Linked DNA regions of Caenorhabditis elegans. Changing the gene in region 3 together with the main gene of any one other region gives a genetic interaction. Each region holds a gene or a part of one and is shown on either strand. Other genes may lie near its edges.

The links.
Region 1: of unc-84 (region 3) and fcd-2, changing one enhances a phenotype caused by changing the other (phenotypic enhancement), as found in Caenorhabditis elegans (one study listed by BioGRID).
Region 2: of unc-84 (region 3) and lig-4, changing one enhances a phenotype caused by changing the other (phenotypic enhancement), as found in Caenorhabditis elegans (one study listed by BioGRID).

The regions. Positions count from the first base shown.
Region 1 is NC_003282.8:15,023,228-15,029,262, reverse strand, and holds the start of fcd-2 (FANCD2), read right to left. Parts: upstream 3,558-6,035; 5' UTR 3,543-3,557; coding exon 3,470-3,542; intron 3,417-3,469; coding exon 3,026-3,416; intron 2,978-3,025; coding exon 1,870-2,977; intron 1,024-1,869; coding exon 892-1,023; exon of another isoform or gene 794-891; coding exon of another isoform or gene 556-793; intron 491-555; coding exon of another isoform or gene 415-490; intron 337-414; coding exon of another isoform or gene 318-336; exon of another isoform or gene 285-317; intron 1-284. Other genes in the region: Y41E3.8 (Glycine Rich Secreted Protein), read left to right, coding at 318-336, 415-490, 556-793; Y41E3.7 (Golgi resident protein GCP60), read right to left, coding at 4,082-4,268, 4,628-4,887, 5,013-5,134, 5,823-5,861.
Region 2 is NC_003281.10:7,519,149-7,526,236, reverse strand, and holds lig-4 (DNA ligase IV), read right to left. Parts: upstream 4,775-7,088; 5' UTR 4,768-4,774; coding exon 4,647-4,767; intron 4,595-4,646; coding exon 4,295-4,594; intron 4,248-4,294; coding exon 3,934-4,247; intron 3,885-3,933; coding exon 3,762-3,884; intron 3,500-3,761; coding exon 3,286-3,499; intron 3,241-3,285; coding exon 3,090-3,240; intron 3,040-3,089; coding exon 2,944-3,039; intron 2,895-2,943; coding exon 2,443-2,894; intron 2,393-2,442; coding exon 2,282-2,392; intron 2,235-2,281; coding exon 2,088-2,234; intron 1,968-2,087; exon of another isoform or gene 1,882-1,967; intron 1,722-1,881; coding exon 1,525-1,721; 3' UTR 1,367-1,524; downstream 1-1,366. Other genes in the region: C07H6.2 (E3 ubiquitin-protein ligase PPP1R11), read right to left, coding at 4,905-5,228; akap-17A (RRM domain-containing protein), read left to right, coding at 5,540-5,662, 5,713-6,075, 6,130-6,288, 6,335-6,460, 6,639-6,754, 6,797-6,881, 6,932-7,088.
Region 3 is NC_003284.9:13,582,157-13,590,837, reverse strand, and holds unc-84 (Nuclear migration and anchoring protein unc-84), read right to left. Parts: upstream 6,064-8,681; 5' UTR 6,059-6,063; coding exon 5,862-6,058; intron 5,368-5,861; coding exon 5,087-5,367; intron 5,035-5,086; coding exon 4,206-5,034; intron 4,147-4,205; coding exon 3,704-4,146; intron 3,646-3,703; coding exon 3,382-3,645; intron 2,902-3,381; coding exon 2,746-2,901; intron 2,695-2,745; coding exon 2,237-2,694; coding exon of another isoform or gene 2,225-2,236; exon of another isoform or gene 2,167-2,224; intron 2,162-2,166; coding exon 1,841-2,161; intron 1,789-1,840; coding exon 1,516-1,788; intron 1,456-1,515; coding exon 1,342-1,455; 3' UTR 1,017-1,341; downstream 1-1,016. Other genes in the region: col-9 (Nematode cuticle collagen N-terminal domain-containing protein), read right to left, coding at 1-482, 636-803; srf-5 (WAP domain-containing protein), read right to left, coding at 8,238-8,317, 8,367-8,513, 8,564-8,636. UniProt on the Caenorhabditis elegans protein: Involved in nuclear migration and anchoring in hypodermal precursor cells. Most likely recruits anc-1 to the nuclear envelope where anc-1 functions to tether the nucleus to the actin cytoskeleton.

The DNA.
Region 1 (6,035 bases), on a different chromosome or scaffold from region 3:
CAGAAAAATGAGATTAAAACGACAAAAAACTACCATAAACTTTTTTTTTCGCGGCGAGACCCATCTGAAAAATCCATGCGCCTTTAAATATGTACTATATAATTCCTTCAATATTATCAAATCTACTTCATATTAAATAAATGTATTTAAATATAAATAATAAAATCGAATCCCAACACCTTTCCCTCCATTCTGTGCATATTGTCGTCGCGGTGTACACAACAGTTGTGTGCAAACACGACGACGACTAATTCACGTGTGATTCCTGTTTTTATACGGTTTCCAGGGCGAAAAAGTGAAGAGAAACCAGTTCAAGCATGGTTTATATCGATAAAGGTGAGTTTTTTCTTGACTAAAATGCTAAAAAAATCGATAAAAAAAAGCAATTTTGTCCCTAAAAATAGGATATTTCAGATGGAAATGTGCTCGAAAAGAAGCAAAAAGGAATTGTCGAGATGATCGTCGGATTCTTCACATTTATCATGTTATTGTGAGTTTTTGAATTAGGAAAAATCATTTTTTCAATAAAAATCATATATATTTTTTAAAATTCAGCTTCCGCTCACTGCTCGGCTTCACATCTCCTACAAACCGAAACAGCAATTCTCAAGACTACCGGAATATTGTTCGAGGCGGCGGAGTTAACGGAGCAGGCGGCGGTGGAAATGCCTACAGGCGGAATGGAGGCGGTGGAGGTGGAGGCGGAAGAAACATCGGAGGACTTCCAACATCATCCGGAGTCGCTCCACCACCAATGGGAGGCGGTTGCTGTGGAGGAGGTGGTTGTGGATAAAATTTACGATTTTTTTCTGTTTTTTTTTGCATTTTTATTCGATTTTTTGTGTGTTTGTGATATTTGATGTATTCGTTGTAAATATATAAATAATAAACCTGAATTTGCGTTGAAAATTCCTGAATTACACTGGAATTCGTTGATTTAATAACTTTAAAGAATACATCGAGGACGGCTTCACATTCGGTTTCACTTTGGGAAAAGTGCTTCATAAGTTCGGTGAAGACTTTCTGAAAAAATTTATTAAATTATATTATTGAGAATTTTGCCCTAAAAACACTCAAAATTGTCCAAAATTCCAGAATATCACAGAAAAAAAGTGAAAAAAAAAAGCATTTTGTTTGAGTTCCCTCCAAAACCTGAACTGCGACCAATCAACGATTCGCACCGCCCACTTTTAAACCAATCAGACGAAGTGGGCGGAGTTTGAGGATGCTGATTGATTGGAAAGTGGGAGGGGCGAATCGCTGATTGGTTGCGGTTCTCGGTTTGGAGGGAATTGAAAAATCGCGGTTTTTAGGTTGAATTTTTCATTTTTCGCTATTTTCGGTGGTTTTTCTGAAATTAAGACTGTTACTGATGTTGAGAGCACCCAGAATAGAATAAATTTCCAAAATAACATAAAAAATGAAAAAAATGGCGAAAAAATGAAAAATTCAGCTTCAACGACCAGATTGTGTTCAATTTCTCTTTTTCTTTTCGTTTTTTCGAAATGAAATTTCGGAAATTTAGATTATTTTGGATGTTTAGAACGCTATTAACAGCCTTAATTTCAGAAATACCAACGAAAGATGAGAAAAAATGTCAAATTTAACCAATTTTTTGCTAAATTTCCTCCAAAATTAGTAGATGAGGACTGCCACCAATCAGCGATTCGCTCCACCCACTTTCGAACCAATCAGCGTCGTCAAACTCCGCCCACGCCGCCTGATTGGTCTGAAAGTGGGCGGAGCGATTCGCTGATTGGTCGCAGGTCTCGTTTTGGTGGGAATTTGAAAATCACGTTTTAAGGCTGAATTTTTCAGTTTTTCTTCGTTTTCTCAGTAGTATTCCGGAATTTTCGACTAACTAAGCACCTCTCTATCCCGTTTCTCCATTCCAACAAACAATTGTTTCCACATTGAAACACCCATCTGTCGAACATTTCCATCCGACGACCAGAAGCAGTGCCGTGCCACGTGGATTAGAGCCGGCAAGTGACACGTGGCGAATTTCTTGCATGAAATGACAAGATCGATGATTCGAAGAAATTTCGTGGTGAATGCGGCCGGAATGTTCAGGATTTTCGAATTAACCGCCGCTACGAACGTCGGCGGACACGATTCCGTGTTGGAGAGCAACGAGAAATAGAGAAAAGCCTCGAATGTGGTAAGCCACGTGGCAGATTCTTCCTCCGGTGGCGACGGGGTCTCTTCTGAATCCATATCCTCTTCCGGTTTAGTCGCCACCACAGGCTTCTTACTTTTGGAAATCCACGTGGTTATGTGCTTCCAGGCGCGTTTATCGTTGAGTCGGAAGAATTTTAGAAAATGACCGAAAACCTCGACGATTAGCGAATCAGAAGATGGTTTGCTGGTTTTCTTCTTGAGACCATCGATTTTCAGAAGACGAGCGAGCTGACGGAGCATCTCATGAAAATGAGCTTCTTCATCGTCGGCCTTGCCTTGAAAAACTAACAAGCTTCCCAGAGAGAACGCGACGAGGGATGGAAGACACGCCGGATCCAAATCCATGCACAAATTGCAAAGATCCATTCGAATCTTCCTGGCGGTGCCGGGATCCATGCGCAGAAGCCGTAGAGTTTCTATAATTTGCAGCTGAAACGATGGAAGACCGGGTACACCTTGTGTCTCTGAGCATTCCTTGTGAAGCCGGACAGCGGTGGATTGTTGCAGAGAGATATCGGTGAAGATCTCTGGAAGCGCGGCGATCAGATCATTTCTGACGTTGGGGCTCCAGAATCTCCATTGAAACTCGAAAATCGTGTTGAACACGGCTTGTGGTTCGAAGAGCCGGCTTAAGTGGCGCATATGGGCCACACAAGTCTGCGCCAGCAGCAAATCTCTCTCATCCTGCCGTTTTGCTAGAATATTCAGTTTTTGAAGCAAAAAATCAAAGGCCTTGGTTTGCGTCGCTTTGATTTGAAGAAAAGCCCGGAAAATTGTGTCCTGCAGGCCGAATAGTCTGAAAATACACCACATTTAAGCTCATTCACGATTAAAATCTTCTTACGATTTTGCAGGGCTCAGAAAAAGAGCCAACATGTCTTGATCACTTCCACAAGCCAACAGAAATTCCGCAAACGTCTCTCCTCTATCATTTTCCATTCGTTTTTCCAAATTTCGACAGAGATCCTCGCTATTTAAATTATTTCCAAAAACGACACATTTCTCATAGCTTCCCATCTCCATATCCATCATTCCCTCGTCCTGATCGTTCACAATTCTCACATTTTCCTCTTTTAAAATCTCTTCGAAGCGATTTCTCGGCGTGACGTACGCATTTTCAGCATAGGAAACGTGATTCTCGGCGCCGGCTCCATCCAGATTTCCGAACAGCTTCTGAGTCATTGCCATCGAGAAATTTCGTCGATTTCCGGAATTGTGGCGATCATCAGGATCATCTGAAGTTTTGTTGATTAAAACGGGAAAAAATAAAGAAAATTTGAGTTTTTACCATCTTCCACGTGTTGGGATGCAGCCACATGACTATTTTCATCATCTAGAATGTCGAATTCTTCATCTGACATATTTAAATCCTGAAAAATAAGCAGAATTCAGCTGGGAAACAATTAAAATTAATTTCAGACAAAAAAACAAAATTTTTTAAAATTCAAATTCTCACAACGACACTCCGAAATCCCGCATGCTCCATGGCGCGAAATTTCGATATTTGAATTCTAACTCTCTCCTTTTCGCTTTTTTCTCATTTTAAAGTAAATTTCCAACTAAAAACTCCAGTTATTCATCATTTATTTCGCATGAAATACATTATAAAATAGTTATTTCTCTGGAATATTGCGTTATTGTATCAAACAAAAAAAAAATGAATTAAAGACGGGGAAAGAAGAGGCGTTCAAGGAGAGAGACATCGAGTATAAGTCCGGATTCCCAAAGAAGAATGTAAAACCGACGATATGGTAAGAAAAATACAAAAAAAAGAGAAATCTACATTTTTTAAAGTCAAACGAGATGTTTTCATCTGGAAATGATGGTGAGGATGCAATAAATCAATTATTTAGAAAGAAAAAATAAATTAGCGGCTTTTGCAGCAATTATTTTTAAGAACTTATTTACTGTAGTAGACACGATAGTAGAGCGTCTTCGAACGCCACAAAGAATACGAATTGTCGAATTTGAGCAGATAAATTCCGCGACCCGGATAACGATGACTTCCCGCATACACTTCTTCGTGACAATCTCGACGATACACCGGAATTATTTCATCCTGCCGCGGCTTGTTCGGATCAACACGTCTGAAAATGGCCAATAATAATGAATTCTAAAATGGTTAAAGCTATCAAAGGCTTTATAAGGCCTTTATAAGCCTTTTTTTTAATTTCTAAGCCGGCTTTCAGAGGTTCTATATGTATTGAAAATACAGAGTTTCAGCCTCAGCCTCAGCCACGACCGCGACGCAGCTGCATAGCGGAGCGGCTCAAACAAAAAATTTTATTTTATTTTTAGCCCAGAATGCGTGATTTTTTGTCATTTGTTTGTTTTTCATTCTGCATTCTAGAAATCTGGACCAAAAAATAAAATCAAAATTTTTTGTTCGAGCCGCTCCGCACGCAGCTGTGTTGCGGTCAAAAGCTCCGTCATTTCAAGCAGCTACCTTGTCTGCATGGCTCCAGCTTCCACATCTCCTGGTCCACCCTGTCCAGCGGCTCCTCCACCACCACCTCCAGCTTCCGCCTGCTCCGCTTCAAGTGCTTCATCATAATCCTCCTCATCATCGGATTCACTAACGTGCACCGAAACTTGATTACTGTCGGCTACGGTCCATTCAAAGTAGACACCGAAACCAATATCGTAGTGATCCGTCGCGAATTCCCAGAATAGACATGAACCATTTTCGTGAGTTGGGACCCGGACCTAGAAAAATTCAAAATTTTTATAGTTTTTGAACCAAAATAAGGCACAAAATGCACAAAAAGCAACGAATTTTCCGTTTTTTTTTCTGTTCATTTTTTCGTAAAAATTCCAAAAATTGCCCGTACCGTCACCGTCTCGCCGTGTCCAACTTTAATAATTCCCTCGTGTCCGTCTTTCTTGATATTCGCCTTGAACTCATTAATATCCTGCCGATTCCAGAGTGAGGCGGGCGAAATTGCAGGGTTGGCTGGAAAAATTATTGAATTTTTGAGAAAAACTTGTGAATTTCAATAAAAATCACAGTAAATATCCAAAAAAAAGTACATATTTAAAAATATTTAAAAGCAATTTTTTTCGTGCAAAATCTCGGCCGTGGGTCCTGGCACGCCTGGAACTTTTTTTAAACCATGTACCTTTAACGCTAAAATACGGTACCGGGTCTCGACACGATAATTTATCTTTAAAATACAGCAGGGTGTGCGCCTTTAAAGAGAGTACTGTAGTTTTAAATATTTGTTTCTGTGGGGTTTTCATCCATTTTTCATAGAATTAATTCTAGAAAAATAAATTTTCAACGAAAAACTGTGAAAATTTCGCAAAACAACTGAAGTTTTGAATTACAGTACTCTTTAAAGGCGCACGCCCGTTCGAATTTTACAAGCGTGTCGAGACCGGTTACCGTACTTTTTGCGTCTGGATAATAGTTTTTTTTAGCTAACAAAAAAAAACCAAAATCCACCATACTCTCGGTTACTGTAGCGCCTATAAAGTCCCGATCGTGCCAGGACCCATTTTTTCCGCAAAAAAACAGATTTGTGCATGAAAATCACGACAAAATAAGGGGAAAATCATGCAAAAAAAGAATTCAATTCACAACACATAAAATACGGTTACAACATTGTGTGTTTTGCGGTGAAAAATGATGAGAAACATACAGTGACAGAAGAGGCCCATATTTGCGTGAATTGAAGACACTACAAAATAATAGGAGGAATAGTTGGAAAATGAAACACAAAAACGTGTGTGTGTGTGAGTGTAAATGTGTGAGTGTGAGTGAGTTTTCAAGGTGATTAGTGTGGTTTTTTGCTAAAATAGAACTCAAAAAAGGGGGTAAAGGAAAGAAAAAGGATTCTATGTTGAACTGAAAA
Region 2 (7,088 bases), on a different chromosome or scaffold from region 3:
CTATAGTGGAATGATCAATCCCCTCAACTCGAGTCTTCCCACCAACTCATATGCCTTACTCTTGACACCTTTCAAATTTATGGCTCTCTTGAGTTGTGTTGTTGTCTCTATTTTACACACTTTTGTGCTTTTATCCCAGTCACCATAATTTACGTATGTGTTGCTTCTTTTGCTCTGAGAAAACTGATTGAGCTGCCACAAACAAAAATAATAGAAGGTTTTGAAAAACGCCCTATTCTTTAGAGGGCAATGAAGGTGGTCCAGTTATTAAAATAAAAATATTAGGTCGGTAGAGAACTCAACAATTATTTTCCTTTAATTTTAGAGCCATTTTCTAAAAGTTGTCTTCTACTGATAGAATTAAAATGCACATTACCCAGACTCAAAATTTTGCGACTTTGTGGCAAAAATACGATAGCCGGTCTCAAAACGACAACTTTAAAAAAAAATTAAATGCGAGAAGGTCTGCACCTTTGAAGAGTACTGTAATCTTAAATTCTCGTAGCTGCGGAATTTTCATCGATATTTATAGTTTTAATCACGACTTTAAAAAAATTTATTGTTTTATTCGAGTTTTTAGATAAATAAATTTATTTTGATCGAATATTTGGAAACCCCGATTAAACCTACAGTAGTCTTTTGAGGTGCACAAATTTTTGCATTTAACGAAAATCTGTCGTGGCAAGAGAGGACAGTTATAGAGCAGTAATCACAAAATTTCGCTTCTGCGTAATACTTCTATGTTGGTCACGATCTTTGTTAAGTGCTATGGATCGTGGCGAGACCACTTTTACAAATACGTCGGAGAGTTTTACAAGAGAGAAATATGGAAATTGCAGAAAAGCTGAACGAAAAAGCTGAAATAAATTCAATACGCGAAATGTTTCTAAGATCAATTGGAATAGTTTATACAACTATTTTACGGAAGAATCTGAAACGTATGGATAGTAGAAAGCAGGAATCAAAAAATGAACACTGACAATATGAACAGTTCTTAATTTTCCTTAAATTTATGTTTCGAATTTCCTTTCTAAACATTGTTCATGCCATGCAAAACTACCGTAATCCGTGCCCACCCCCTGGTGGTAGTTGAGTGTCAGTTGTGTGTCTCTTGTCGAAAATTGATCGGTGTCTTCGGTTCCTCTTCTTCTTCTTTCGTAGCTGATGCCACTACTGCTGTTTGGTATTTTTGTGAATGTTGTCGCATGATGATGCAGAGATGTCTCCAAAGAATTTCAGGGATCTGGCGAGAAAAAGGGACTTACGAGTTATCCTGATAAAATCTCAATTTTCAAGAGACACTGTCAATCCACGGAGGAATAATGATTTACGGTCTAATAATAAACAATTCTTGGACAAATCACTGATGTGTTATATTTTGTTATATAAGATGACAAATTGGTAAAAGATTATTCATAGATCAATATCATATTCACAGGAATGCGGAGAACAATAAAACTGCATGAAGTAGATCTATCAAAAAGGAAATAAAGAGCGATATCACATATAATCGAAATTAGTAAATTATTCCTGAATCTCGAATCCACCTTCGATGGCATGAAACACATCAGAAGGCAACCAAGCCTGAATCAGATCATCTTTATTGCAACGTTCGAGCCAGGCGGGTTTCAGAACAGTACAAGAGTTCGAAGCGATGGCTTGAGCTGTTTTAGGGTGTGTGGATTTTGGAGCAGTAGCAATACATAATTTGGTGGATGGAGCTGAAAAAAGAAGTTCATATTGAAGATCGGATAAAAAGTCTAATTTTTAGAAGATTATATTTCATAATTAATTCACACAAAAAATATGCGCAACTGTAAATCAATCAGATTAAACGTTGTCCGCTCGAGGGTTTCAGGATTATCTTTCTTGTCTTTTGGCCCACTTCAATTGATGAGTAACACCACTAACACAGACCAGCTGGCCGCTCTGAGCCGACTCAACACTTGTACTATTTATCACTGTCTCTAGCTTGTGTATAAGTAGAAGGATATGAGCACAATGGTGACTAATGGAATTTTGAGTTTGTTGTGCGGGGTATGATGACTCGTTGAAAACGACTTCAACTTGAAAACTAAATCACTCACTTATTCCTTTCACTACAGTTGCATCAAAATGTTTCAAGATCTCTTCACACTTTCGTCGAATTGTTTCAGATGTTCCCTGAAGAACGGCGACTTCAATTCCAGTCAAACTTGACTCTAATTTGGCACGTTTCAGACGAACAGGAGCTGCTGTAAATTAAAAGAATAAATCAAAATTAAATTTTCTGAATGTCTACATTGATGAATAGCTTTGCGGGTAATTCGTTCCACTTTCAAAGTATCTGGTTTCTTATCTTCAGAATCTTCTTCATCACTGTCCACGTTATCACCCAATTTACATTCTTGAACTTTCTGAAATACAAATAATAATTCTTCGCTTCCGTTTAAAACTTGACACGTGCCGTTGCATAGTCTGAAAATTCTTCCCAAGTGTTGACCTGTTCAACAGGCTTATCAAGTCTCCACTCTCTCATAACAGGATCAACCAATTTTCCGTTGCGAACACCGTTCGATGTGATTTTAATCACTTGCCAGCGCTCGAAATCAATGTATCCACCATCTCCTCTGGCAATATTTTTCGGTCGTTTTCCATAAAATGTGAGCTCTTCAGGAGCTTCTTCTAGGAGTTGCCCATACTCAAAACGAATCGCCTCGCGAACAGTGTCAGAAAGTCCATAAGAGCATGAGAGGCATAGCTTGTAATCTTGAGTTTTCTCATCAAAAGCCGCAAATCTGTAGAGCGTTTTTCCATTCCTTCCAGCTCCTGGATGTACAGCAACTAGTGCCAGATCTAGATCACAGTCCTTTGATGCAGACGGTTTCAGCTTGAACCATCCATTAGAAGCGCTTCTGAAAATAAAGAATAGACTTTGAACTAGAATATTATTTCCAGCTTTACCTTTGTCCTTTCACGTAAACACTATCTGTTCTCTTCACAACGATTCCTTCTTCATTATTTGCCATTGCTATTTCAAAGAATTGTTGAATGTCCTCTCTGAAAAAAAGTTGATGAAGACCCAAAAATTATGAATGCTTTCGACAAACTTTTTACTCCCCTCCTCATGTTTCGCCACAAAAATTGTATCTTCTCGTTCTTTTTTCAGTGGAGCAATCTTGAGCATCTCGAGTCTCTGATGAAGTGGTGCTCCAAAAAACGGTTTTCCATTTAAGTACAGTAAATCAAACAAGACGACGGCTGAAATGTGAAGTTTTTGCATAAATTTAATTCATTTCAACTCACTTAATTGTTGATTATCGTCAGGTTTGACATGTCGGAATGATAAAACTTGAGCATCTGATGTGGTTGAAGCATCGTTGTGACGGCAAAGTTTTTTCGTTTTCTTATCCCATAACATGAGTTCGCAGTTGAAAATTGCCGATTCACATTCTTTATTGAAAAATGAATGTATACGACTGGAGAGCTTTCCGATTGCCATTGACGAATCACCGTATTCCTGAAAATCCCAAACTGGATACAATTTTTCGAATAAAAAATTTCTAAGTTTATATTTTGAGCCGACTTTTTTTAAATATTATTTTTATTTCTGAATTTTTAAACATATTATTTAGATGTGGATCACAGTACATTGTTAAAGGCACACACCTTCCTACATTTTACAGAAAAGTCGTGTCGAGACCCGGTATCGTATTTGGCCGCAAAACTTCGCGTCCGGGTAATACCACAAATACGTAATAAGTTATTAATCAAAAACAAACCTTCGAAAAATCATTGTTATTTCTTGTAAACCATCGATATTCGTTTCCTTTCTTATGAAGCAGCACATTCTCTCCATCGAATTTTGTTTGCAGAAAGAATTTCTGACCTCCAAACTTTTCAATCTGTAACAATAAATTGTACTTGAATTATGAACTGAATTCCAAAACTCACATTTGCATACCAGTCACCTCTTTTCTGCTTCTGAAGTAACATGGGTGTCCATATTTTAAAAAGATGCTCATCGTCATCATCATTTGTTTCTCCTAATTCGTTGGTTCCTTTGTTTTCTACCAATTTTCCTTTTAGAACTGCTTTCAAATCATGTGTCTGATCCCAAATAGCACAAGCAGAAGGCGATATCCAGTCGAGAATCCTGTTACTTGGGGCTCCAAGAGCTGATTCAACGTTCTTAAGAATTACGTTGAAAATCCATTCCAACTCGTCTTCAGAGCATCTCTTAACGAGTTTCGACATCTTATCTCGTTCTGAAAACTTTTTTTTGAATAGGAAAAGGTGTAAGCCAATAACTGACTGTTCCCATCATCCATTGGTCCCGCCGCTAAGAAATCAAGAATTTCGTTCAACTCGGAAACCGTGACTACTGTAGATTCATCATTTTCAGTTCTATATTCTTCAGAAATCTTTTCAGCCAACTGACGAGCTGCTGTTGATGCATCTTTCGAGATAGTTGATACGTAATCAGCCCTGACGTCGTGAAAAGTTTTTGCCATAAAGCTTGCCAACTTAGTCGGTCCCATGTCGAACTTTCTGAACCTCTCGTAATCCGAAACGAAGAACCGTATTATGACAAACATATCAGATGGATCAGAACCTGAATTTAAAAGAATAACGTCACATTGTAATAGTTCGCCCAATTGTCTTACACTTTTCTTTCCATGATTCAAAGTTTTTCTGAAAGGTTGCTTGCTTTGATTTCACATTTGAAGTCCGCCGAATCTTGTTGAAGACGTCAACTACTTCGTCGAAGATCACATCTGACGCCATGAAGATTCTTCAAAAATAATTTTATTGAACATCTATTCGGAATAACGAACGAAAATAAATAAACAAAAGTATGCACAAATTTGGGAAAGAGACGGACAATGAGGGGTAAAATGGGAAAAATCGATTATGAAATATGCTCAATTAGAGCTCTTCGGCTCTTCGTTCTTTTTGTGCTCGACGTGGCCACGACAATGACCGGTTTCACAATCCGAATCAGAATCCGAGCTTGAGTCTTGCCAATTTTTGGGCTTCTTGTAGATACAACAGCATTTGCTCTTCTTCTTGCCCATTCCTTCGTTATCCACTGTTTCGGTGGCCCAAACTACGTGTCGCCGTTCTGAAGTTGATGGCTGAGCTGGATTTGGACTAAGATGAAGCACCAAGTTCTGTTCTCGAGATGGAGGAACGGTGACAGTAGAGGTTTCAGTGCTTGAAGCAGTTTGTTGTTGAGTGTGGCTCATGTTCTGTAATTTAACAATATTTTTTTTTAATTGAACGAAAAATAGTGGAACAAAAAATAAGCCTGACAAATTCTCGTGAAATCAAGTAAACAGCAACAAAAATGTTTCATAATATTTTGTCCGAGTGGACTTCAAAAGACTGCATGGCCTAGAATCCAAATTCATTCCTCGTCCCCATGTGGTGAACTCCTCTCGGACAACTTATTCGAAGAACAATTTTTCATCGAATATTCGATCGAACTTCAATTTATATCGATGTTTCTTCTATTTTAGTGCAAATTTTAATCAAAAAAATTAAACCTTTTGTCAACATGGCGCGAAATTTTCCCACTGCTCTCGATTACCTGGGATCAGAAGCTGAAGATTTTAACAAGGCGCAACACTTGTATCTGAAACCGATGGCTGTTATAAAAATTACCGTAGTGCTGCCTCGGGTACGTTTTTTTAACTATCATAATTACATCGATTTATTATTTAATTGTAGATGACGATCCCGGGACAATCAATATCTAATTGGGATCTCATGGAAAGACTAAAACGTGCAATTGATCCAATTCAAATGGATTCTTGCAAAGTTCGTGAGAGCAATATCGACAGTGTTATTTTTGAAGCGGAACTTCTTTCGCTAGGAATCATGCAGAAAACGATGAAGATTCTCGATGGATTCTCTATGAAAGTGTCTGGATTTGCTGAGCCCTTGAAAGTTAAAACAAAAGAGGCAAAGCTTGATTTTCCAAGTCGTCATGATTGGGATGATTGGTTTATGAAACATAAGATGGACGAGATGAAACCCGGAGAACGTCCTGATACAGTTTATTTGGCAAGAATTCCAGTGAAATGGTTCTGCGTACGTTGCTCCATAACATTGCATTCGAATTTATTTCACCAAACACATTTTTAGGATGGTTACAATGATCTTCCTTCTGAACGACGTCTTCGCGTTGCAATGGAAGCGTTCGGATCTGTTAGAGTTGTCGACATTCCAATTTGTGACCCACTCCGATCTCGAATGAATTCAAAAATCTCTGGTATTCAGCAAAAAGGTTTCGGATTAGGGCAGGTATCGCAGTGTTTTATTTGTAAAATCAAACGAATTGAATTTTTAGGATGTATTTTTTGAAGCATATGTGCAATTTATGGAGTATAAAGGTTTCGCCACTGCCATGGATTCCCTGAGAAATCGTAAATGGGCAAAACGAATTGATGGACGGTTCTTTCAGGCTAATGTCAAGGTATAGTAGGGTAGTAGAGTTAGTTTGCAATTTTGAAAAATCTATCACATTATTTCTAAACGTTCAATATCAATTTTAAAAATTGCATATTCTTCGCTGAAACGAATCACCTCGTGCCACTCTACAGGTTAGTTAATTTCCCAGAATTAAGGTTGAGAAATAGCTTAAAATTTCATAGGTGGATTTCGATCGATCACGTCATCTCAGCGAAGTTCAAATTGCAAAGCGAGCGGAAGAACGACGTCAAATTGAAACGGAACGACTGCGGCAAGAAGAAGAGGAGTTGAATATCAAGTTTGTTGATGCTACAATTTTAAAAATAACTCACCTCTTCAGACGTCAAGAAGAACTGAAAGTTAAACAAGAACTCGATGATAAAGATAGAAGACGAGAAGATAGAGAACGGAAACGCCGCGAAAAGGTTCACTTGAAACGTTTCAAAAAATCATAATAAAACATACGAAATTTCAGAGGGAACTCGAACGAATGGCTGAAGAAGAGAAAAAACGCCTTGAAAAGGAACGACTTGAAGCAGAGCAACGATCACGAGCCACTCGCCGTTTGCAAGGTGTTCGTCTTTTGAAGTTTCTGTTTGAAAAAATTGAAGCACGAGAAGAGAGACGAAAGA
Region 3 (8,681 bases):
TTTGACATTGACTGACCTGGTGGCCCCATTCCACCGGGCAGGCCGGGCTGTCCGTTCAGACCTGGAGGGCCTGGGGGTCCCTGTGGACATTGTTGACACTGTGATTGAGTTCTAGGTTGGCAAGGCGATGCGCCTAGTCCGGGCATTCCTGGCATCCCGTGACCACCTGGTCTTCCTGGTCGACCTGGTTTTCCTGGGTGGCCAGATGGACCGGGAGGACCTGGATTGCAGCATCCCATGCAGGTTCCTCCTTCTGACGCAACAACAATTCCGCTGCGTGGTGGGCTTCTCCAACCATTATTCTTCTTTTTCTGGGATCTATACCCAGTATTATAGCCGCGGGGTTTAATATTGCTTCCTCTTCCAACAGCGTAACCAGTGTTACCTTCACCTCTAGTAACAGTGTAAGCTTCGCGAATTGTTCGATTGTGGACGATGTCGACATCTTCGGTCATATCAAACCAGATTTCGTTTATAGACTTCTGAAAATATTATACTCTTAATTGCCGCAAACTTCTATGTAAAATGACAATTATGTTTTGCTAGGAAGAACTTCAATTACTAAAATGTTCAGGTATACACTACTAAAAACTATTTCAGCACAAAACATTACTAATGCTTAGTTTATCACTCACCTTGCAATATGCTCCTTCTCTGCTAATAGTCATCATTCCATTTTGTGCATGCTCGTAAATCAACGGTAGTGTTACACAAAGAAACGCTGTAGCTATTACTGAGCTTCCAACGACAGAGTACGCCACAAATTTGAAAATTCGTAATTTTAAATCTACACAGGACTCCATGAAAATTGAAGAAAATACAATGTTAACGCTCTCGCATGGTTTAGTATATATAGCCCGAGGAATACAAAAGAAATGATCAATGAATGTGTTAGGCGGTATACTCAATTAATGTCGTTTGCTGCGAATCCATCGGTTACGGTTTGTTATGCCAATCTAACACTTATTCACTCTTCCACATAATGGGTTTTAGTTCAGTTTTACAAGAACAAAAGATATTGAAATAATTTATGAAAATCGATAAAGTATTTTGAGATCAGGGGGTAAAGGCTGCAGAGAAATAGAGAGTGATTGGTTTTGCATTCAAATATATTCAGGCCAAGTATTCAGGAGACCGGTAAACTGCATGAAAATGTAATGATATTCTATACTTTGAAAAAAAATGGACACGCGCTAAAAATATAACAAGGGAACTGGAAAAATTTGGGAAAATGAATTGTGATTTGAAAAATTGGCAGGAGAGGGGTGAAATTGAAACATTTCGGAATCAGATCAATGGAAATTGAAAATTTGACCATAAAAACAAGATTAACAAAATAAATTAAACTTGAACAACTTTTCCATGAACACGAAGGCGGTAGAGACATGTGAACGGAGCTCCGTAATTGCTTGTCACCTCGAGCTCCACAAACTTGACAGGAAAATCGGGTTTGTGCTGAAAATGTTAATTCGATAATAGCCACACACTTGTCAAGAATTAATCATTCGGACTTACCTTGGCAAGGAAGAATTGAAGTGGCGGGCCATCAAGATCATAAGTGTAGTCGCCAATCAAAACTCTCGAGTTCAGGTCGTCAATCTGCTTGTAAGCCCAAACGAGGACTCCCTTTGGAGCACTCGACCGGTTCCCTTCTGGAGCAACTTCTGATCCAATGTGCTCATAGCTGATGCTAGAAACATCAATGAAATGAGACAGCTCGACAGCAATGTAGCCACGGGATTCTTTGAAGCACCAGCATTCCCCAGGAAACAGGGATTTGGAATTTCTCTGAAAATGAAAAGATAATAGGCTTGGAGTCAGAGGATCCTAAAGCGCTCACCTGAATGACAACTCTTGGAGAGTAATGGAAATAGTAGATTGGGATATCCCAAAACTTTTCCAGCCTTGTGTAGCTTTTGTACGTCTCCGAGCATCTTGTTGACACAACAGCTCCACCTGAGCTCTCCAGGGCATAGTCAACTTTCCCAGTTTTATCCGTGTCATACTCGTAGATCATTTGACGGATGATAGCTTCCAAATGATTCTTATCATATTGAATGTTGGTGTTTTCCATTTTCAGTTGCTCAATAATTGTGTTGTAGTTTTGCTCAAACTTTGCGCTAAGCTCTTGCTGGAATTGGGCGGACAACTCGGCGCGAAGCTAAAAATAACAAAAATCTTTATTATGTACATATGTACAAAACATCAATCATTCAATAATTGATTAGTTAGTTACCTTCTCCGTTACCTCCTTAATGATAGCATCTTTGTCAACAGTCTCAACAACGTTAGTCTGATGGATAATTACTGGGGCCGGAGTTGGCGCTGGGACTGGGATAGGTTTAGGTGCGGGGGCGGGAATTATCACTAGTTCTTCGTCCTCCACATCGGTGACTTTTCTCAGTGGCTCTTCAACAATACGCTCCACATCCGGAGTTGGGGTAATAGCTTGTGGAATTGGAATCACTTGAACAACATCTTCTGGAGCATATTGGCTGATGCGAATCCAAGCACGAGTGCACAAACTGAATGGGTAGGCAATGAGGAAGAGAATCCAGTTAATTACAGTTTTGAGCACGGAAACCACGGAGTTGTACACTTTTCCAAAGACTGCCGCTACCTCATTGAAGAAATACATGTAGTTATCACCAGCAAAGTTGAACACTCCAGCGATTGGTGCATAAATGAAGTTATCTGAAGAAAAAACACCATTTAAGTTTATAGTTTGAAAATTGTAGCACTTACAAAAAATGTTAGTGATTCCGGTGCCAAATGACTTGAGAAGAGAAAGAATGGAGTTTTGGGAAGAAGTAGAAAAGTTTAAGAGACCGGCAAAGATAGTTGAGAAAAAGTTGTAAACAGCATTTGAAGCATTGTAGATGAAGCTCTTTGTATGGCCAACTGTAAAAAAAGCGATTTTCTTTGGTTTTTTGTAGTGTCTTTCTTGTTGTAAATACAAATAGTGAAAACAGATAATATCATTTTTTTACGTGTAAATGGTACTTGCTGGTACTACAAAAGTTTTTTGATGTTTCAAAAAAAATTAAATAAAACGTGAATGGTATTTTAGGCTTAGGATTCTACTCAATTAATAACTCAAAAAGTTAATAAGTTCTAAGCCTGAAAAATAAAATAATACTAGCATGTTGCTCAACACTTTTATTTCCATTTTATTTCATTCGTTACAAACATTTTGGAATTCAGTTTTCTATTTCACAAATACCAAGTAAATTACTGTTCTGAAAAATAAAAGCTAATACTCATGTCCCATTGATAAGATGTTGAAAATTACTAAAGATTTCCAGCATAATGGATTGATCGAATTTTAATTTTTTAAAGTTTTACCACATTTTGACTGCATACAATTTGTATTTTCCTTACCAATTGCTGTGCATCCGTTGTACAAGGTCTCGTAGCAACCGTTGAAAAAGGTTCCGATAGACTTGTTTGCTGACAAGAACCCATCTGAGCCATAGTAAAATAGCTTTCCAGCACAAAAATCGATGAATCGAAAACTCGATGAGAGCACAGATTTTAAGCCATTTCCAACAGCGCCACATCCGCTTGCAATCAGGTCCCAAGCATAACGTGGAGTAGTGCCAAGTCTACCAATCGTCGACTTTCCATAGTTGTACGTGTCAAATGCTGGAATTTAAAGATGTTGTTTTCTACACTGAACAGAAAAATGAGATTTATAACATACCAATATCTACAACAAATTCCTTCACCATCCATGTGTAATGTTTAACGTGATTTGCAGCTGAAATCCAGATTGGCACAGCTGGGAGGGATCCTTCCGACTTCTTAGATGCATTCTTATCTTTGGTAATTTCTTTAACTCTTATTGCTGTGTTGTCAGATGTCAGGAATCCAAGGAGAAAGATGGCGAAGAGAAGAGCCAGAAGTAGACCGAGAATTTGACACCACGAGAACTTTGATGATTTCTTATCGGTAAGACCAGCAAATAGTCCTCCAAAATAGGAAACTGTCTCAACAATTCCTCCTTTGAACATTGCAAATACCACTTGATGCGCTTCAACGATTGTTGCTACGAATGAGCTCAAGAAATCGGCAATTCGAATTCTCCAAGAAACACCAACAGCATCATGAACATCTGATGAACTTGGTGCCGGTTCGTTGATATCTCTGTATAAATAACATGAAAAAAATTGAACTCGGTCATCATAAATTTAAAATGTTCATACCTGACATGAATAGTCTCCATTGGCGCTTGCTGATAATTGGTCAGCTTCATGTAGGCACTCTTTCCATAATCGTAGAACGTATACCATACATGTCGTGCCGCAAAGAACGGGAACAATATCAAGTAACCTAGCCAAGTGAATGCAGTTTTAATCTTATTTCCTGTCGCTTCTTCGTATTGATAATTGTAAGTTTCTTGTGGGAACAAAGGCGTGGAAGTTGCAGCAGCATGACCAATGTCAAAAGTTGGTTCAGGAGTATTCAGATGACTCAGTCCTCGGCTTCGAAGTCCATATGTGGAGAGTGGTGTGTCGATTTCGAGTTCCGGAGTATCGAGTGCTCGAGTTATAGCTTCACGAGTGGCACGGGTTTGGCGGAATCTTGGGGTAACTGAGCGTTGCTTCACTGTTCTAGTAGTCACAACAGTCGGGGTTATATTTTCGGACGTTCCTTCTCCGAATGGAGAGCTCGAGAACACCTTGGCAGTGATTCTGGTAATTGTACTAGTCTTCACAAAGGCTGGAGCTGCTCGGCGTGCTGGTGATTTCGATAATCCATCAAACTTGCGGCTTCTTTCCAATGTTTGAGATCTTGTCGTCATTCTGCTAGCTCTCTCATTTTCCAATTGATCCTTGATCGAACGGTACTGGTACTGTTCCACGCCATTGTTACTTCTTGTGAGCATTCTGTAAGGAGTAAGCACGACGTAGACAAGGATCTCAAAGAATCGACGAATAGAACGAGCAGCCTTAGTGGAGAATGGCTCTTGCCGGTTGCGAATGAGAGCTGTACGGCGACGATGATCTTGGTAGGCGTAGTAACGAGTTTTCGCTGAAAAAAAATTTTTTTTTTAATTCTAACATTTTGCAGAAAAACAACTTACCGAGTTTCACCAAATACAACAGGTAGTCCCAGATGGTGAAGCTAGTGATCTTGATGACGTGGTAGAAAGCTTCCAAAATGTAGGTGATGACGTGAAGAACAAGGTAGACGGGGAAACGGAGGATATAGAGAAGCTGTCTGCTGAGACTGGCCGCTGACCAGTGCTCCTGCTCAGAGAGTGATCCTGAAGTAGTACCACCAAGGTTTGGCACTTCCCAGTGGTCCGGCAAGGATGGATCGTAGATTTTGCTGTATGCGTATGTGTAGTTGGTTGCGTATGGTCTGAAAAAGAAATTATGAAAATTTTATTACATTAGGAATATAAGTTCAACATTTGAAAATGCCAGGAAAAGTTAATCTTCTATTATAGGTTTCGTTTCGCCTTGGTTTTCTAATTTTTATACAAGACTTGTAAACACTACATATTTAAAATTAAACAACCAACATTCACACAGACTTAAAACTCAAAAAGAAACGGAACCACCAAGAGCTCACTGGTAAGTGACCTTTATTCTTCTTCTTCCCGCTCAGATTCCTTCGCCTTAACCCACCCTTGTAACCCGATACTTTCTGGTGTTCTACTTTTCCTCTTTTCCACCTCACTGCTCAGAACAACACAGCTTTTACATATTTGTCAAAGGCTTCTAGGGCGTCAAGTACAAGCAAACTGAGTTCCAAAATACACAAACAAAACGTGGCCTAGCAGGTGCGCGTGAAACCTCGGCCGTATGTGGCGCGAAATTTGAATGAGAAAAAGGGGGAGGGGGGTAACATACAAGTCGCCTGTCAAAGCATCCAGCTCTTCTTCGGTAAGACGTGGCGATCTGGCGTTTCGAACTGGTGGAGTCAGGAGAAGCTTCCGGCGAACTTTTGCAAAAATGTTTGGAGAATTGCGTCCAGAGCGTGTGGATGCGAATTCCGATTTCCATTCATGGGTGTCGAAGTTGTTGTCGGCTTCCGTTGCGGGAGCCATAGTACCTGCAAAACACAATTTTAAGGAAGATATTAAAGATATTAAAGAGCGGTGAAAAAAGAAGTATTGAAGTGAGAATAAAAAAGTAACAAAACTTGCAAGCATCGAGTCTCTGTCTTTGTTTGATTTTGAACTACGCATGATTCATCGCACCAAAATCTGTGCGCTTTACAGAACGAGCAAACACTTTTATGAAGACAAAAGGGCTTGAGAAGGAAGAAGACTGGGAGACGTTCGTGTTTCTCACGATTATAATCACCTGTTGGTTTTGATGGGCTGAGAAAAGAATATATAATACTGCCTGATTTTATTATGAAATTTAAGAGAAAAAAACTGGCAAAAAAAACAAAACATATCACATCACAACAAATTAAATACGCAACTTTTCGAAACATCGCAAGGCAGAAAAAATTCAAACCAATGTTGTTTGTGTGCTCACCCCGTCGGGCCCTCCGTCTCTTCACCTTGCACACTATACTCGAATCGATATTGTTTGTGTGAGTGTTTTTCTGGGCGAAAGGAGGAGAAAGGGAGGGCACACACATACACGCAACAGTGAGCGTCGATTTAATGGTTTCGGTCGGTCACCCCAGTCTCCAATCGCCATCACCCCCGCCGAATGGTGCAGGTGGTGGACAGCAGATAGGGGGAGAGGGGGTGAGGCAGTGTGTTTTTTGTAGAGAGTAGTTGTCTGGCGTACGGTGACAAGCGATGGAACCGAGTGAGGGAGTGTGAGATGGGAAGAGAGAACACCAGAGAAGAACATGCATCTACGTGTTGCCCTCTAAACACGTAAACAGGCCGAAGGAATTAGGCATCATTGCAATGGGCAACAAATCGGTGAGAAGTACTGTGAAAGAATCGGAAGTGTGTCTCGCCTTACCACGTAACCTTGAGGCTAATTTACAAGCCCAATTGAAAAGTGTTGTAACGATTAGACACAGTCAAGAGCAGATACGGAGAAGTTACTAGTTTTCAATAAACGTTTGTAGAAGAACATGAAATACATATCAGTACGTCAGATATAGGCTATCAGTAAAATAAACCCTCAACCAAAAACACAAGCACAATCTGCGTGTCCACAATGTTTTCCGCTTTAAGTACTGAACTATGTCTGTTTTTTTTATAAAGCACAACTTCCAGATCAGTTACTTCGGCCTGCGTGGAAGGTTTGAATGATTTTAAATTCTCAAATCAATCGCATGGCTCTGATCTCTGGTGTTGTTTTTGTTGACTTTTTCTACAATTTTTGAACAGTGATCTATTGGATTCACATGGTTATGAAACTAACAAAAACTACGGTGTTTATTTACTATAGCAAAACTTTTTTCTAATTTTAACTTTTAAAAATTGAAATCAGGTTCTTCTAGAATATTGAAAATGCCGCTTTTCAAACTGAAATCAATTTTTTGAGTTTTTGAAATCAATTTTTTGAGTTTTTGAAGCCTACTGCCAACTTTTTGAAAAACTAATTCAAAAGTTTTCCAGAAGATTTTCAATTTTTAAATTTTTTTGTTGTATTTTCATGTCTATTCACAGAGTGAAAAATATTAAAAAAATATATAAAAACCAAATTTATCAAGAACTAATCAGATTTCCCATTCTCAAATTTCCAAACATCTTGATCGAATTAATCGGGATTTTGATGGGTAATCAAGTGTTAAATATGTTTTAAAGAGGGAGTAGTTTAAATGGGGAAAACATCAAAGCTTATAATGCAGTGCATACTGAGGAATTAAAAGAGAAACTGAACATTTTTTTGAAAAATGAGAGAATATGCTTGAAAATTTATTATAATTTTAAGTAGACGCTCAAGTTTTTCATTTTCTAGATTGATTTTTTTAATACAAAACTTTCTGTTTGTTAAAAAAAAACAAGTTTATATAACAGTCAGTGCGCGCGAAATTCAAATTTCATCCACTTCAACTATGTTTGTCGCTTTAGAGTAAAAAATTATCGGTGTGAACTTTTCTCACTCTTTTTCTCAATAACGTCCTTTTGACTTGCTTCGTTTTCAAAAATAAAACACAATATTTTTTATGGAGAAAGTTTGAAAAAAAAAAGAAATTGAGCGAATAGGAAAAGTGAAAAACGTTTCTGCAAATAAAGCTAATCCAAGAGAGCAATGAGCAAACATTGACGTTCAAACGTGAGGAAAAAACGAAATAAAGAACAATTTTCAGAGCTCAGCATCTTCCATTTCTGCTTCTTTAATGTCGGCTTCAATTTCTTGTTGTCGCTTCCATTGGTCAATTTTATCTGGAAAAGCACAATTTGATTTACTTTCAACATTCATATTTGCACTTACAAGTGTGAGCACAACAGAAATCCATTCCACATCTAGAATGCACACACGAATACGGTTTTTGACATTTGACTCCGCCCATTGCGTCACAAGTCTGTGGGGTATCATCTGCCTTTCTCATCACATTCCAACCTCCGGGACAGTAATCCTCTACAAACATCGAATTTGTTTGATGGATTAGAATACAAATGGCAACTAACCTGCTTTACATACACTATCCACTAGATTAACCAAGAATGCCAGAAAAATGAGACAGATGATGATGATTCTCATATTGAAGTGAAGTGACCCGGTGAATGGGATGAATAAGGAAAACTG